Linked DNA regions of Oryza sativa Japonica Group. The main gene of each other region encodes a partner of the protein of the gene in region 3 in a complex. Links are inferred from orthologs where the notes say so. Each region holds a gene or a part of one and is shown on either strand. Other genes may lie near its edges.

Region 1 (6,017 bases), on a different chromosome or scaffold from region 3:
ATATTGTATGGTGACAGCTGATGTTTGTTCCATTTCTTCTTAGAACTTGTTCATCCGGCCATACCCTTGACTGTGACTGTCCAACATATTTTACAATAGACTTGTCTTGATGTCTTTATCTAAAGGATGCTAGGCGCAGTTTCTTTGGGTTCAGAGATTCGATATGGCACTAAATTGAGTTGTTTTCTTCATTCATTTGGTTACCATTTGTGTAGAGTTTAACGTACCAGTAGTATTTTTGGTAGGAAGTTACTGGAATGATGTTTGCTGGCCAGTAGTTTCATGGCTTAAAATAAACCTTATGACAGCATATGCGGCACCTAAATGCTTGTTATCTTAAGATAAATTTGAAGCTAACATGGTGTAGGATACTTCTGAACTATTTATCCTTCAGTGGCCATTCAGATACTAGCATATCATGGCGGATGTATTTTTGGGAATACGCAAGGAGTGCATTTTTGTATTAAGAGAAATAAAGAGTTATTTACAAAACCCAAACGCAGCAGGGGACCGAGACAGGAATCAAAACAACCAAAAAGCTACTTAATCCAGAATGCCATCGGCCTTTTCTCCTATGATGAAGGCTTTAAATCTCTACACTTCTCCATGGCTTTGTACATGTGTAACCAACAGCCAATGTGCCAAACACTAGTTTGGAAACTGACTTCTGTCACTTGTTCTTGGTTTTGTTTTTTCCCCTTACACCTCTACCTATCATGGATGCTTTTGCTCAGAATGTTGGAGATTGTAGTGTGTGTACTCTTGAACTGCTCTAATAATTTTGGTTTACTCCTAATAACTCAATTCCAGTTCATTGGCTTTACTGCATTGCATCAGTATGCCATGTGGTTGATGGTTTGGTTTTCATACTGTCAAACCTCCCTCAGAGATCTAAATTAATTGCATGTCCTGCATTTACCCTACTTTATGTTTGTTCCAATGATTTAGGAGCTTTAGCGCAGTGTACCTTGCATTTTGTAAACACTTTAGGTAAACCTTTTGTGGTTTGGTTGTATAATGATCAGATGGTTTCCCAGTTGTTGTAGTATTTGTTGGCTTATGCTGTTCCCAATTCTCTCTGTCGGCATATGAAGTCGCTGGTTTGAGTATGAACGGAGCATAAGTTTAATCAATCCATGTTATTGATACATGCCCTTTGGTTGTACACTTGTACTATGATGTTTAGCGCACAAACCAGATTGTGCCGCTGTTGCAAAAAATTGTATCTGCAGATTTTGTGACGAAATACGTAGTAGTTTGAAACAATGTTAGTATTGCACATCTTTGGTCTTCTGTGAGACTGACCTGACCATTTTGTCTGCACTGCTAGTTCTTGAATCCATAATCACGACACATGAACTAGCTACTCGAGGCTTCAGACTTGGACATTATTGGATGAGAGTATGAATAATAATGTCATGGCGAAAAAAGAAAATTGTTGATCTCGTCGTCGCTTGCATTAGTATACTGATTGCAAAGAAACTTCCACGGGAGAAGTCCGGTCAAGACGTAGATTTCTCCGCGAATCTCTCCTCCATCATCAAGTTCTTTATCCCCTCTTCTAGAGGAGGAGGATGTGGCCGCGGTGACAGCAAGAACACGCATGGTGTGGATGTGCTGGGCTACATCGTTGACGTCTGATAGAAATAAGTTCATTTAAGGTCCTTAATTTGTCGTCGAGTTTAAGGGCTCGTTCAGATTGATGTCTTTTCAAACTATACTTTTTTTTTTGGTAGAGTTGTTAAATATGTGCATCCATTTAGATTCTTGCCAAACTTTAGTAAATGCATAAGAAATCCTGCCAAAATTTTGACAATATTACCAAATTGCCAAAAATTAGTAAGGTTTATTTCGGCTACAATCTGAATAGCCCCTAAAAGGCTAAAACTCGTCGCTGTCCGGGATGGCCGGGGAGCTTCTTGGGCGGGAGGAGGCGCTCAAGCATTCTGCGAGGACCGGGATGGAGACGAACAAGAGCACCGACAGCACGAGCGGTGCGGCGATGAGGATTGGATCTCGGTACTCCTGGAGAACAGGGAAGAGAGACAAAGAGTTGTCGCTATTGTGTGAGGTCCACGTGAGTCCTACTTCCCACATCAGTTAAAACTTAAAATTAGCCACCATACTATCGTGGGACCAAAGTTGATACGGTATTGTGAGTTGAAGGATGAGCTGTAGCGTTGGTATTTCGGTTCGGGACGAATTCAAGGCATGTTTGGGGAAGTTTATGGCAACTGGAGATTTTTTTAAAAGCTCTCACAAACAGTCTAAATTTTCACTCAGATTTTAAGAAGATATAGTTGTAAAATCTAAAAATGAACTAGAAGATAGAAGAAGCTTATCTAGATTATCACCGGCTAGCTTCTCCAACCCCAACCAAAGTGTTATCCTCGTGGCAAATTACGGGATCTAATGCGAACTTATTCCCGTCTGATATAGATCGGCCCAATAACAACCCAAAATCCCAGTAATTCCTAAACGCGGCCCACAAGACAGCATCCCCTACCCCACCTTCTTCCCCGATCCCCTAGGAGGCTTCAACCCCGCATCCGCCGTCGCCTGCGCGCCGCCGGAGGCCGGAGCCCGCCGCCGTGGGATACTAGTCCAGCTTGGAAGCGGGGAGGGAGAGGCTCCAGCCAGTGTGCCGAAACCTACCCTTCCATTCTGACCCACCACGCCATGGCGGAGCCCACGCCGCCGCTGCCGTCGAACGCCGGGCTCCGCATCCTCCTCAGCAAGGACCGGCCACCGGCCTCCTCTTCCTCCGCGCTCGCCGCCGCCACCTCCGCCGCCGTCTCCAGCCACACCGACCGCGACCGCATCATCGTGAGTTGTCCACTCTCCTATCTAGTATGCCCCCGGGGGTGCCAGTGTGGGAGGATGTCATGAACCGAGGGTTTTCTGTCAATTTGCGCGGAATTATTTCTGTGTTGTGCAGTAGATTTGAGAAATCTCGTTTGTTCACAGGGAGTGTTCCGGGATGCGCTGTCTAGGACTGAATCCCCTGAAGCTTTTGCCCTTCAGGCCGTTCAGGATGCGATTAAACCTCAGGTACACAATGCACCACAGTCAGCCATGCTTGTAGGCTTGTAGCTTTCTCATAGATGATGGATTACTGTACTTGATGTTCCTTGCGTTGTCTTGTGCATACACACGTTTTTAAGTTAGTTGCTCATCTGATTTTTTGCAGAAGCAAACAGTGTTGGTTCTGGAGGAGAACCAATCCTTAGAAAATGCTCTACGCAAATTGCTGCAGGAACTTGCAGTAAGCTTCCTTACCACGCATGTGCCTGCACTAGTCTTTGTTCTCTGTAACAACACTATTACAAAGTAATGTGGTAGTAGATGATTTTTTTTTTGGGGTCACTGTCTCACATTTACAAGTTAGCGTAATGCAACTTCTCCTTTCTCCATACATTTCATTAAGTTTCTATCTTCTGTTTAATAACCGTCTGCAAGTATTTACCATGTACCTGAACGATAGGTAGTTCTATTGTTCAAATTGTGCAATCCTTACTTGCCTGTCATGCAGCCCTATAGATTAATGCTTGTTGCTGATTTCGTTTCATATCTATATTTGTAGTCATCTGCAGTTCAATCTGGTAAAAGAATAATGCAATATGGGGATAATGAAGAAAATAATTGCCCGATAACACGTCTTCTTGGTTAGTTGGAACCTTTTTACTGCTCCTTTCTCACATTGGTTCCTGAGCACTATTTAGAGATTTATCTGTTTTCTCTTGAGAGATCTTCTTTTTTTTCATGTTAGATATCGTGCTTTACCTTTGTGAAAGAGGGCATGTTGAGGGAGGTATGGTATTCCAGCTGTTAGAAGATCTGACAGAAATGTCAACTATCAAAGACTGCAAAGATGTATTTGGATATATTGAGAGCAAACAAGATGTCTTGGGGAAGGTAATTGAGAATTTGTCTTTTGTACTACATTTTGTTAAATTGGTGCTTGTAAGGCACATATGATGTATGCAGTTGCTTTGCTAATGGGGATTACCTCATTGAGTTGTTTGTAGCAAGAGCTTTTCGGGCGTGGCAAGCTTGTTATGCTAAGGACTTGCAACCAACTACTTCGAAGATTATCAAAGGTTAGATTCATCTGTTTTCTTATGCATACTCTGCTATCTACTTTGTCGTAGTCCGAATGTCTGTAGATTGAAATCATTCTGTGCTTTCCTTATTTTCTGTGCTGAGCAGTTTTATCAAGTACTAAGCTGACTGCTGTGCTCACTGTTCAGTAAGATCTTTGGTAATGACAAATTTACTGTAAAAATACCAAGCTATTGGACATATCATAAAAATCGTATTGTACATTGCGATGTTGTGGTCCTTTTGCTTTAGTGAGTATTGAACAAATATATTCTTTACATTTCTCGGAGTTTTGACAGCCTATAAGGTTGTGTTCTGTACTAGCATTGATACCCTTTGTTCTGAAATACCACAGGCAAATGATGTGGTATTCTGCGGACGTATTATCATGTTTCTAGCACATTTCTTCCCATTATCGGAACGTTCAGGTTTGCATATTTTGCATCTCTCTGTCCCCTCCTAGACAGCCCCTTATTGGCAAGGAGTGCATAACTACATTTTCCTTGTTTTTCTATTTTATCAGCTCTCAATATCAAGGGGGTTTTTAACACATCAAATGAAACAAAGTACGAGAAAGACGCTACAGATGGTGAGTATGACTATCCTGATAAAAAAAATATTTATTATTTTTTTGTTGTGTGTTTTTCGTGTGACTTTATTCAATTTTTTATTTCTTCAGTCAACTGTTCTCGTAAAAGGATAGAACTCCCTAATGTAAGCCTTTTTTTTTCTCAGGAATTTCTGTTGATTTCAACTTCTACAATACCCTATGGAGTCTGCAGGTGGCTGCTTTGTACCCTGTCATTCTGTGGGATTCAAAAATCATAATTGATTCCTGACACGCTTCTTAACTTTTAAACATTATATTGTTTCTCATGCTCATTTGTCTTTTTATTTATGTTCCAGGAGCATTTTAGTAACCCTGCTTTAACTGCTGCAAATCTGACAAGATGGCAAAAGTTTGTGTCCAATTTAACGGTACATCCTTTTGCGCATTTTTACAATTACATGAACCTTTTTCTTTCCCAATGCAAAATGTTAATTCTGAACTTCTCGTTGATGTTTACTGTTAATGAAAGTGCAGGTTGTGCTAAGCACATTTGAAGCTCAGCCTCTCAGTGACGATGATGGAAAACTTAACAATCTTGACCAAGAGGAAGATGCTGCTTTCAATATTAAGTACCTGACAAGTAGTAAATTGATGGGTTTGGAGGTAAGAACTTTTTGATCAGCTGATACTAACTTTTTATTATTGTTCACTGTTCATAGACTCATATGGCAATTGCTTCTTTGCAGTTGAAGGACCCAAGTTTTCGACGCCACATCCTTGTCCAGTGCCTCATATTCTTCGACTTTCTCAAGGCACCTGGAAAGACTGACAAAGAAGGTCCAACTGGGAGCATGGTTAGTCCACTAAATGACTTCTCTGATTGTTTTCCATGGACAGTTGAACTTAGACTTGAGCATCTGAAATTGTGCTGTTACCAAATTTTTAGTATTCACCTATTACTACATGATTGCTCTTGAGTTTGTGATAGTCACAACAGCAAATGTGGCAAAGCTAGCATTAGTTCTCATGAAACCATCAGCTCCTTTTTCTGTGCATGCTATGTGAGATCGTAAGTAGTCTGTGATAGCTATTCCCATTTTAGTTGAACCGATTATTATCACTTATTAGCATACTTCTCACAGCGTGTGCTACTGGGCATGTAAGTATTAACAAACACTGATTGCACAAATTGTCCAAACCGTATGAAGTTGCTTGGCAGTGCTAGTTTTTAGTATAACAGTGCCAACTAATACCAACTGCCTGCCTGATACAACTGGGTTATAGTGGCTAGTACAGACAATGAATCAGGATTAAGGAAATGCCACTCTGTACTCTGTATTAACTTTATGCTCTCTACAATCAGAAA
Region 2 (5,951 bases), on a different chromosome or scaffold from region 3:
ATTAATATTTTGCATACATGCTCAAGCCGATTACTTACATTTTTAGTTTATTGGAATCTATGCATGTGGCACATATGACTTTGGTGATTCATTATTGATCATACTTCAATTGGCTAAGTGTTGTGATGCCATGATGATTATTGTTTCAAAAGCCAATTGAATTAGTATTCATCTAGACATATTAGTTGAATGTTATAATTTTTCATATATCTAGAGAGAAGGAATTTTGGTCCAATAATTTGATACACCAAGCATTTGGCTATTATGTGAAGAAAAATTATATACTAAAGGCCGATGCTTGATTTCAAAAGTTTGGACGAAATTGGCAAAGTCATAGACCTAGGATGGTCTAACCGGCATTGCACGGCCGGTCTGACCGGCTCTACATGGCCGGTCTGACCGGACAGACAGGGTGGTCTGACCGGCATTGCGTGGCCGGTCTGACCGATAGCGGGCCGAGAGCTGGGGGGCACGTTACAATTGATTAAAAGGCCGAATTAATTGTGAATTCGGACATTTGTGCCCATGAGTTAGAAATAGCTTGGAGAATTCCTTCGATTAGATATTTGAAGATCCTACACTTAAGGTTGATCAGAAGATTCGGCGGCAAGCGCTCAAATATTATATCGCCGAAAAATAGATGGAGTATTACTTAGATAATGATCAGTTTAAAGTTGCTAGGAGAGTAGTACATGAAGGGATTTGTGAAATTCATCAATCGGCCCGTAAGATAAATTGGTTGCTTAGGAGAGTGTGGTTTCATTGGCCGAAAATAATTGATGATTGTTTCAAATGTTATAGAGGGAGTGAAGCTTGTTAACGGATCGGCAATGTTCAATTAGCGCCTACCGCTGTGTTGAATCCTATCATTAAAGTATGGCCGTTCTGAGGTTGAGCTTTGGATTTCATTGGTCAAATTTATCCTTCGTCATCAAAAGGGCGTTGGTTCGTGCTAGTTGCAATGGATTACTTCACTAAGTGGGCCGAAGCCGTGCCGCTCGAGAATATTACTTGTACGGAGTGAGAAGTTTTGCCGAATCTTATGCTATTAAGTTGATGAGTTCTTCTCTTTACTACGCTCAGGCTAATGGATAAGCCGAGTTGAGTAATAAAACATTGTTGAAATTGTCGTTTTGCCAGTTGGGGTAAATCTTGGCTCTCTTCGGTATTTCAAGCAAGACGACTTGTCGGTTGAAGATTACAAGACCTTGATGGGAAACAATTTTAAAGACGTCATCGACAAGCGTTTAAAGACTTTGAAGGAGATGAAGACACTTCAAGACGGTGTTTTCAGAGAGCAATTAATGGGAAATACTTGAAGAAATATTTCCCGAGCATTTGGCAAGATGCTTAGGAAGTCCTATGGGCGGTAATTGGATTATCACCCTGACATAACATGTTCTATGCTTTTAGGTTCACGTATGTTTACAAAAAAGGCAGGGGGGCATGTGTTTACACCCAAATTTGGCACCTATGGACGAAATAGAGGAAAATTGCCAAAGTTTGGAAAGTGACGGGTTTCCTTCACAGGGCCGGTTAGACCACAGGTGTGTGGGCGGTCTGACCGTCTAGTAGGGCCGGTCTGACCGCAGGTATGTGGGCGGTCAAACCGTCAGGGTCCGAGTCCGAGTTTGTTTTCGTCGGGTCTCGGGTTTCCTTGCCTGGGAAGGTAGGTTTCGTGTTTCCTTTGGTTTCTATCCCGAGTTGGATATGGAGAAGGGCCTGTAGAGGGTAAGACCAACCCCTATTTAAGGGACAAGGCCGGTTCATTGTAAAACCCCCGAATACAATTTACTTGAATCGTTCTTTTACCATGTTTTCTATTTTACCCTAGTTTTAATCCATCTTTGTCGGTTTGCGCCGTAAACCGTCCGCCGCCGCTGCGAGAGTGCGACACCTCTTTGTAGATTTGTCCTGAAAACCTTCCGTATTGCCTATGAGACAGGTTAGTTATCCTCATATCGATCTAAATCGGCTTAGAGGCTGATTTTTGATCTCTAAATCGGCTCCGCTAGCCGGTTTAGCTGTTTTTCTACAAAACCCATCTTGATTTGGCCGTTTGGCTAGATCGAGGTGGTTGGCGACTCCATATCACCGCAAGGCGTTTAGGTGCTGCGATCGTAATTGTCGACTTGTCACAAAAAGTTGCCAACAGCCGCAGCGGCTGTCCCCTCCAAAGAGGTGGTGGAGAGAGATGAGAAAAAAAAAGAGGGGAAAGATGAATCTAAGAAGACGAAGATGGATGGAAAATATTACTATAGTGGCATGGTTCTAATTTTATAAAATTTCAATGTCACAATTAAAAAAGACGAATTGTAATAACATTTATCGGTATATTTACAATGGCATGGATTCAATTAAACAAAAACCAAAGGATGTGTCCATGGCTCCATGGTAAGGATAACGCATGAACTTGTGGCATGAATAAACAAAAAAGTAGAAGGACGTTTCTGCGAAAACCCTCTCCTCTTCCCCGCCGACGCCGTCCCCGGCTCTCCCTCCTCCGTCTCGCGCCCGCCGCCGCCGCCACCGCCACCGCCGCCGCCGCCTTGCGCCTCGTGACGCGGTGAGTGGGGAATAGCAAAACCAGACCCGTGCCCCAGTCCGCGGGGACAATGGAGGGGAAAGAAGACGACAGACGGCGGGGCGGCGGTGGCGGAAGCTCGACGCCGGGGATGAACCTGAAGAACCTGGTGTCGAGGGAGTATTTCGGCCACAAGAAGAAGGTAACCTTTTCGATTCCCCCCTCACCAATCCTACGCGGGGATAAGTTTTTTTCTCATGAGGTCCTAAACCCTCAAAAGTCCTGCGAGGGGGAAGCCCTAAAATCCGGATGTTACAAGCAAAAATTAGGACGAAAATGCATCCATCTTTGGTTCACACGTACGGTTTTGTTTCTAATTCTAGAGCAGGATATAGTGATTGATTCCTCGCGTTCATGCCGTATATATGCTGATTCTTTTGCTCTAGGGCTAAGCCATGTTGAGATTGAATGAAGCTTTGGTTGGTTGCTTTCCTTCTGGGAGCTGGTGAATGAGCGCATTGTCAAATATGATTCCTGGTCATAATTACTCCTAATTTTTGAAGGAATTTGGTTTCACGAAAAGGGACTTCTTGTCTGACTTTGTAAAGTTGCTACTCCTCTGAGGGGAAGAATTCAAAGGGAAAAAAAAATCTTACTTGCAGAAAGAATCATAGTACAACGATATTTCTCTGTTTCTTTCTTGAATTCTGTTTCTTGTTTTTCTAAATAATCCTTCCACACATGGAGGTGCAGCATTTAACTGGTTCTGTCGCTTTTTGCCTTCTTTTTTATCTATCTTACATACATAATCAGCCTTAAATTTTGTATAATTCTGATCTTTTGTTTTACTGTTAGGTGCACTCTGTAGCATGGAACTGCCTAGGCATGAAGCTTGCTTCAGGCTCTATTGATCATACTGCACGTGTATGGAGTATCGATCCCCATGGCCATGTAAACATTCTCTCCTTTCCTGATTGCAAACAAAATAACCTTCATTGTTATTATGGAATTATTAGATAAACGCATTTATTGTCATTCACTATGAATAACTGTCACCCTTTTTTTATGAACATTTCTATAAATTTGAAAGATAAGCATGATGATTAATTGGAAATATCTCCCGCTGTATAATTTAAAATTATAGAAACTCAGACAGTAATCACACTTAAGCATACCATAGCCTGTGTCTCTGAGACATATGTTTGAGCTATTTAATGTGAAATTGTGAATGATTTCTTAGCTAGGGGTTCTTTTGGATCCCTCAGTTGTACTTATTTCTTCTTCTTAATGAAAGGAAGCGCAGCCCTCCTGCGGTTTTGAGGAAAATAAATTCTAAGCTAAATTATATTGTTTTGAGAACACTAAGACATTTTTGGTTGGAACGTAGGAGGGGAAAAAACCCCAGATGGTTTCTATTTCCCTGGAAGTACCAAGTCAGTACTGTGCTGATTAGGGTTTTTATATTGCACAGTCCAAGGTTAAAGACATTGAATTGAAAGGCCACACAGATTGTGTAGATCAGCTCTGCTGGGATCCGAAGCATCCTGATACAGTTGCTACAGCAGCTGCTGACAAGTCAATTCGCCTCTGGGATGCACGGAGTAAGTGGTTCCCTTCATCTTTGAAGGTTAAAGAACTAAGATATCCACAGTTGTGTTCAGCATTCTCAGCTTCTCTCTGAAATTGATGAATCCCTTTTTGTCACTTTGTTCAATCCCTATGTTCCATTTACAATGAACTTGTTGTTACCAGACAAGATGTCTTATTCTTTTGTGTAGTGACTCTACCTGAAAGTTAGTTTCAGAATTTTTTTAGTTGTACTTCGATTTTTTTCATAGGATTGTACATCATACTTTTGATTCTCTATTTATAACTCTACAAGATTTGGGCCTGCAGTTTGCCTTTTAAAATTATATTATTTATTTGACCCGCTATTTCTCAAACTGTTTGACGTGTTCTTTTCCAGGTGGAAAATGTCAAGTCGTCGAACTTAGTGGAGAAAACATCAATATCACTTATAAACATGGTGGTACTCAAATAGCTGTTGGAAACAAGGTATGTATTGCCTAGGCTGTTATCCCTGTTAACTTCAAGAACGGTAGTCATTTATGACTAAGGAACTGGTTTTGATTTGCATATATCATGCCAGAAGAGGGTTACAATATTTTGAAAGGAATTTATAAAATTCTTTCCAAAGAGAAATGTGTAACTATAATCTGATTTATATTAGATTGAGTGATGAGTTATTTGGCAAATTAGCATCTAAATTGCAATGTTCATTCTTGTGTTTGACATGCTCTCTGTATAAGTATCAATACAACATAGCTCAGTATGGACACACTTGAATATATACATATTGATCCTAAATTAGATGGAATTATTTACTTTTTTTGCTATGCAAAGTTAGTAAAGTGTTATTGAGCATGGGGACTGGGGAGTGGTGTGTAAATTTTATAATAATTGTAGTAAACCTATTTTTATAAAGTTTACAAGTTAGTTCGCAAGGTCCCGCGTACACCAATGTGTTTACTTTGTGAGTTCTAGTTTTATAAAATTGTACAAGTGTAGTAACAGCTGTCACTATGATTTGCAGGAGGATGAGTTGACAATAGTGGATGTTCGGAAGCTAAAAGCCCTTCACAAATTTAAGTTTAATTATGAGGTACTTTCCACTTGAAGGTTTGAATTGTTGAAACATTCTTCTAGCAATTTTCTTCTTCCTTTTGGAATCTTTCGCTGCTCTGAATGAACATGCACATATAGTCATATACCTTTTGAGAAAAAGTAGAGTGGGCATAAGTCGGCAGCATGTGCATCTTTGTCTGGAACAGGAAAATTGCCTGCTGGTATTTGAATTAGTACTGACTACTGAGTGTGAATTACCTAACTATTCGATGTACTTTAATTTCATTTGCTGCATTACTTATGTTGCAGTTTTGTAAATTTTCTATTTCAACTAGCTAAATGCCCGTACACCTGCTACTGATAAAAATGAATCATATAGCTCCTCAGATCAGTTAACTTTTCTGAAGTAAATTATTGATTTGTTGTTCCTCAGATAAATGAGATTGCATGGAACAAAACTGGAGATTTATTCTTCATCACTACTGGACTTGGTAAGATACAAAACCCATATGTTGTTTTAAGTTTCAATATCACACCAGTTGGTATCAGTGTAATTACATTGTTTGCTGTTTATGTAGGAAATGTTGAGGTATTTGGTGATCCTTCCCTTGATGACACCCTTCATGTGGTTGGCAAATTGAATGCTCATACAGCGGGTTGTTATTGCATTGGAATGGATCCCCTTGATAGGTGATGATTTTTTCTGTCTTCGCTCATTTGTTCAACATCAACTCACATCTCAGCCAATGACATTTCATTGTAACTACATTATCTTTTGAACTTTATGCTATAATCATTAGGT
Region 3 (5,401 bases):
TTTGTGTCAACTTTTTTTACTTTTTTTTCTTTATCTATTCATTTACTATATGTCTGCTTCAATTATTGGTTATAGGTCAGGGTCAACACACGTCTCCTTTATCAGCAAACTAAATTCAACCTTTTAAGAGAGGAAAGTGAGGGCTACGCCAAATTGGTACGTATTTCTATCCGCCAAACCTCTTATGTTTGTTCTTATGATGAACTGAGTATTTTCTTAGGAAACTTCAGAAATCAGAACCACTATATTTTCTGCACGCTGTTTGAAAGGAGTAACAGAATCTAGAAAACTGTGTTTGGTGTGTGTCCAGTTTCTACACTCCCTTAAACGACCTAATTATTGTTTGACCTTAGTTATACAGGTTATAGTTCATGAGGTATCTACAAATAAATTAGTTTGTTTTGATGTTCAATTTGTAACTGATCTAAAACAGTCTAGTTGGATCAGAAAATAGTGGATAGCACAGTATCCCTATTCTTTTGCAGCAATTTTTTTGACACATGTTCCACTAGAAGGCACACCTGGATTTTTTTTGACACATCTTCAGTTAATTTCTGTGATGATTTACTGAAGTTCCGTTGTTTTTAACCTTCTTATCATATTTGCTTCTGGATTGTTCAGGTAACCCTCCTTTGTCAAATTGGTTCAGATTTGGCTTGTCAAAATTCTTCTTCAGTTACTATGAGCATTATAAAGGTGTGCTCTAGAATATTCCTTTCTTCCTCCTGTACTGTTATTTAAGCATTTGAGCATCTTTGTGATATAACATTATGTTTTTTATGGCAGTCATTGATTGGGCATTTTGACCTGGACCCAAATCGTGTGTTTGATATTGTGAGTTTTGATTTGCTGTCCACTTTTTTGTTATGCATTGTACTGTGTGAAAGCGTGTTACCGAAAGCATGTAGTGATGTTATTCTTGTATTCTGCTAGGTTCTGGAATGTTTTGAGCTCTATCCGGATAATACCATCTTTTGTCAGCTTATACCTCTTTTCCCTAAGGTATTCCTTTATCATACTTCATAGAGTATACTTCATACTTCATATGGTTATATTCCTTTTAATATAATAATGTAAACCTCCTCTAAAGATTATTAGCATACTTCATACAATATTTCAGCCTATTTTACTACTTCCTTTTATTGCAGTCCCATGCTGCTCAAATATTGGGGTTCAAGTTCCAATATTACCAACGATTGGATGTCAATAGCACTGTTCCACCTGGGCTTTTCCGGATAGCAGCTTTGTTGGTCAAATCTGGTTTTATTGACCTTGATAGCCTGTAAGTTTACTAAATCTCCTTGACTTCCTGATGGTTACAGTGATGTTAGACATCACCCAAAACAAAATCTGCAATTTGTATTCTTTATAAAAATATCTACTATGCTTTAAGCACACTTTTTTTTTTTAAAAAAACACATACATCCTCTAATAAGGTTTATGTCCATGTAAATTAATGTATGCATGTAATTAATGCCTTCGTATTGGGATTTACTCTCCAACTTTGGACTCTACTTTTTCTTCAGTGTTAACTCTTTACATTGGCTCCTGTTCTTTAATAACAAGAATTTTTTTAATTTCCTCTGATTCTGTGTGGCACTCTACCATTATCGATTTTGCTCAAAATGTATTAGTACAGCTACTGGTGTGTTAAAGGTTACACTGATTATGGTTTCAAGTTATCAATTTATCATTATGATTGCTCATAATGTATTAGTGCGGCTACTGGTGCAATCATGGTTTCTAGTTATGGATTGTTTTTACGTTCCTGATTCCTACTACACTATATGAGCATGACTTTTTTTTGCCACAATATATCTACTTGGGAATGGCCTTTCAACTCCAACTCTCATGAGTCATGACTTATATCTGAATTGTATTGCAGCTATGCTCATTTACTTCCAAATGATGATGAGGCATTTGAGCATTTTGACTCCTTCGTCACGAGGAAAATCGATGAGGTTAATATTCATTTTGTCCTCCTGAAGTTCATGTTTTTGGAAATATTTGCTATATCCAGGCATTGTGAAAGAGAGTTGTATGTATGCCATCTCATTACAGATTTAAACTTGAAATGATAAAAGTACAAATTCAATTGATAGTGCGACACCAAGCCCCCCCTCCCCTTCTTTTTATTTTGCAATTTTGCTATGTAACAAAATGAAATCCCACTGTTTTAAAAGAGGAAGAAAGACAATGTTGTAAATCATGATTCTGTATATGCAGGAAATAACACCATGATAATGCATAACCTTTGGGATTAGGATAAAAAAACGATCTGGGGATATAGGGATTAGAGGATATATGCAAAATGAATGTGTGGGGAATAAAATCGAAAGTAACATTTTGGATTGACAGATATGTAGATGTTGGCTTTATTGTGGTGTATGGGTATTTATCTTTAAATATAGGTACCTTCTGTTAACAAGATGTAACCCTTACGTAGCAAAACAACTTTGGTTGTGGAATGGCGGAACTTTATTTTTTTGTAGCTGAAAAATTTCAAGTTGAGCATGCAAATTTGTTCATACATTCCGGTGAAGTCATTTCAGAATCTATCAGGTTAAATGGTTCTGTAATTGAAAATAATCAGGATTTGTTTGTTTGTACTTCAGCACTTTAATGGTTGTGGTGTATTTTGCAATTTCTGGAACTTAGCCCTCTCTTTCTTAATTCCAGGCTAGTAATATAGGCAAAATAAATCTTGCTGCCACTGGGAAGGACCTTATGGATGACGAGAAGCAAGAAATAACTATTGATTTGTACACAGCATTGGAGATGGAAAATGATATAATTGATGAGCGAGCCCCTGAGATTGAAAAGAACCAGAAACTTGGACTTCTTCTTGGTTTCCTGTCAGTTCATGATTGGTAATGTTCATGTGTTCCATCAATTTATTTTGTCTGCTTGCTATTTGGTTAAATATATAATTGCATTTAGCAGTTAATACATCTATCCTTTTTTGTACTTATTATACTTTTGGTAACTGAATTCTACCATTGTTTGGCAGGGATCATGCACAACTCCTCTTTGAGCGTCTTGCACGCCTAAATCCTGTTGAGCATGTTGAAATTTGTGATAGTTTATTTAGGTTTGTCAACTTTCTCTGCATATGCAAGCATCCTCAACATTACTTGTAGTTCTCTGCAAACAGGGCATATGATGGTGCTTGATACATATGCCCTTGTATTACAACACATTCCCTGGTTAATATTATTCAATTTTGTTTTTTTGTTCATGCAGACTTATTGAAAGGAGTATTTCTTCAGTCTATGATATAATTTTCCAAACACATTATAAGATGCCTCGTAACCCTGTTTATATGATGGACACATCACCTTCCTCTTCACAAAGTTTTTCGGTTGATCCGCCGAAAGAGTTTTTCCAAATGCTTTCTGCTTGTGGACCATACCTTCATCGTAACACACAATTATTTCAGAAGGTAGTGTTGTTTATTTTCTCTGCTAATATTCTCATAGCAGTTCATGCTTGAACATGACATGCTTCCGGCTTCTGTTTTTGACTGGAGATTTTCTCTAATACCCCTATCACATGTATTATTTGTCTTGTGTTGTTAAAATTTGTGTAAACTAGTTATCATGAGTTCTTTTATCCAATCAATGGTTTTATGGTTGCCATGAGGCTTGTGACCAGATTTTTGTTTTCTGGCTTGCATTGTTGTAATAATTCAATAAGTAAAAAACACCGTTCTTGTTGCTTAACTACTACAGATAATTTATAATGTCTTGTAGCTTATAGTGCAAATGGGTTCTATTGACAAGTTGTTGCATATTCAAACGAACTATCCTATTATTAAATGTTTCCATTATGCAGTATCACCTGGAGTATCTATTAACAAGTTGTTGCATGTTTTACCTAATGTAGCATTCTCCATGTTAACTACAGGTTTGCAGAGTACTTAAAGCGTACCATCTGTCAGCAAAAGAGTCAATCCGTACAGCAGGTGTAATGTCTCCAGACTCGCGAATTGAAGAAGCACTTGGATCGTGCTTGCTACCATCATTGCAGCTTATACCTGCAAATCCTGCTGTTGATATGGAGATATGGGGAGTTCTTTCTCTTCTTCCTTATGAGGTTCGTAGTATTGTTCATAGTTTGTTTATTTGCCCAATTCATTTGTAAACAATGTTTTACAATTGTGCCACTCATTTTTAGACCCGTTATCGCTTATATGGTGAATGGGAGAAGGATACCGAACAAAACCCAATTGTCCTTGCTGCAAGGCAAACTGCAAAGGTTGATTATTTATTCCATGACTGAGTTTTCTTATGTTTCCCCTATAATTTTATCTTCAGCTGTCAATTAACTGTCCTTATTTTTTTGATTAGTTGGATACCAGAAGGCTCTTAAAGCGGCTTGCTAAGGAAAATCTGAAGCAACTTGGCCGCATGGTGGCTAAACTTGCCCATGCAAATCCAATGACAGTACTTCGGACAATTATCCAACAGGTATCTTGAATGAACAAGTGCATATAGTTGCTACTCCCTCCATTTCATATTATAAGTAGCTTTGTCTTTTTTTCTGGTCAAACTTAAAGTAGTGAAACAAAACATATTACCAAAATATATTCAATGTTAGGTTTAATGAAACTGATTTGGTGTTTTAGATGTTGCTAAATTTTTCTATAAACTTGGTCAAACTTAAAAAAGTTTAACTAGGAAAAAGTCAAAGTGACTTATAATATGAATCGGGGGGAGTACTTGGGATAAAGTTATTCAAAATATGTATATAACATTGCAGTTAAACACAATGTTTTTCTTTGGAAACATGAGATGTAACTACTTCCATTAGACCGGCGACTGTTGTTATTTACTTATTTTAGTAAATGATTTATTCCTCCTTGTTCCTTTTTTACTTCTCTGGTTTGGAGCTAGCTGATCCATGCCACATCTTCTTACAGCTTAATCCTAACTGCATTTATCCCCACAATTTTTTTTACACCAACAACCTGTGATTAGCAAATGCAAACTTCTAGCATTGGCACCCTTCACTAGCTCGTTGTGCATTAGATGCTCTTACTTTGACAATTGCCCTCTTAGCAGTGACATTTCTAGGTGTATGATAATCTCATACTGTTGGTATGCACTGGACCCCTCAAATAATTCCCTTCCAGAGGGGGACATTTTGAACTCTTTCATGTTAGTCTCTGTGAATTAGCACAATCATTATTGATTGTAAGTTTGTAACTATGCCACCAAACTTTTTTAGGAGTTAATTTTTCCAAAGGAACAGAGATCTTTTTATTGGGTTAATCTATATCTAGTGATTTTGGAAGTTCACCTTACGGTGTTCTTTTCTCCCCTTTCCTAGCTTCTACTCAATCGTTTTCTGCGCGCATGCTTCCCAAACTGCTAAATGGTGCTCTTTTTTTTGCAAAAAA

What was found. Proteins that work in one complex are often made in the same cells at the same time.
Region 1: THO complex subunit 2 (region 3) and THO complex subunit 1 share a complex: the UniProt entries of both Arabidopsis thaliana proteins name them as parts of the THO complex. The link is inferred for Oryza sativa Japonica Group from reciprocal best matches to the Arabidopsis thaliana genes THO2 and THO1.
Region 2: THO complex subunit 2 (region 3) and THO complex subunit 3 share a complex: the UniProt entries of both Arabidopsis thaliana proteins name them as parts of the THO complex. The link is inferred for Oryza sativa Japonica Group from reciprocal best matches to the Arabidopsis thaliana genes THO2 and TEX1.

What each region holds. Positions count from the first base shown.
Region 1 is NC_089037.1:607,500-613,516, forward strand, and holds the start of THO complex subunit 1, read left to right. Parts: upstream 1-2,504; 5' UTR 2,505-2,679; coding exon 2,680-2,826; intron 2,827-2,967; coding exon 2,968-3,051; intron 3,052-3,190; coding exon 3,191-3,265; intron 3,266-3,583; coding exon 3,584-3,665; intron 3,666-3,769; coding exon 3,770-3,915; intron 3,916-4,028; coding exon 4,029-4,100; intron 4,101-4,456; coding exon 4,457-4,529; intron 4,530-4,624; coding exon 4,625-4,690; intron 4,691-4,836; coding exon 4,837-4,883; intron 4,884-5,007; coding exon 5,008-5,079; intron 5,080-5,185; coding exon 5,186-5,314; intron 5,315-5,397; coding exon 5,398-5,505; intron 5,506-6,014; coding exon 6,015-6,017. UniProt on the Arabidopsis thaliana protein: Acts as a component of the THO subcomplex of the TREX complex which is thought to couple mRNA transcription, processing and nuclear export. Contributes to the integrity of the endogenous trans-acting small interfering RNA (ta-siRNA) pathway.
Region 2 is NC_089043.1:11,599,976-11,605,926, forward strand, and holds the start of THO complex subunit 3, read left to right. Parts: upstream 1-2,438; 5' UTR 2,439-2,615; coding exon 2,616-2,726; intron 2,727-3,379; coding exon 3,380-3,475; intron 3,476-3,995; coding exon 3,996-4,125; intron 4,126-4,490; coding exon 4,491-4,579; intron 4,580-5,117; coding exon 5,118-5,186; intron 5,187-5,582; coding exon 5,583-5,640; intron 5,641-5,727; coding exon 5,728-5,839; intron 5,840-5,951. UniProt on the Arabidopsis thaliana protein: Acts as a component of the THO subcomplex of the TREX complex which is thought to couple mRNA transcription, processing and nuclear export. Contributes to the integrity of the endogenous trans-acting small interfering RNA (ta-siRNA) pathway.
Region 3 is NC_089035.1:40,603,262-40,608,662, reverse strand, and holds part of THO complex subunit 2, read left to right. Parts: intron 1-75; coding exon 76-156; intron 157-621; coding exon 622-696; intron 697-786; coding exon 787-834; intron 835-933; coding exon 934-1,002; intron 1,003-1,148; coding exon 1,149-1,282; intron 1,283-1,885; coding exon 1,886-1,961; intron 1,962-2,679; coding exon 2,680-2,870; intron 2,871-3,010; coding exon 3,011-3,091; intron 3,092-3,243; coding exon 3,244-3,442; intron 3,443-3,906; coding exon 3,907-4,095; intron 4,096-4,176; coding exon 4,177-4,257; intron 4,258-4,349; coding exon 4,350-4,469; intron 4,470-5,401. UniProt on the Arabidopsis thaliana protein: Acts as a component of the THO subcomplex of the TREX complex which is thought to couple mRNA transcription, processing and nuclear export.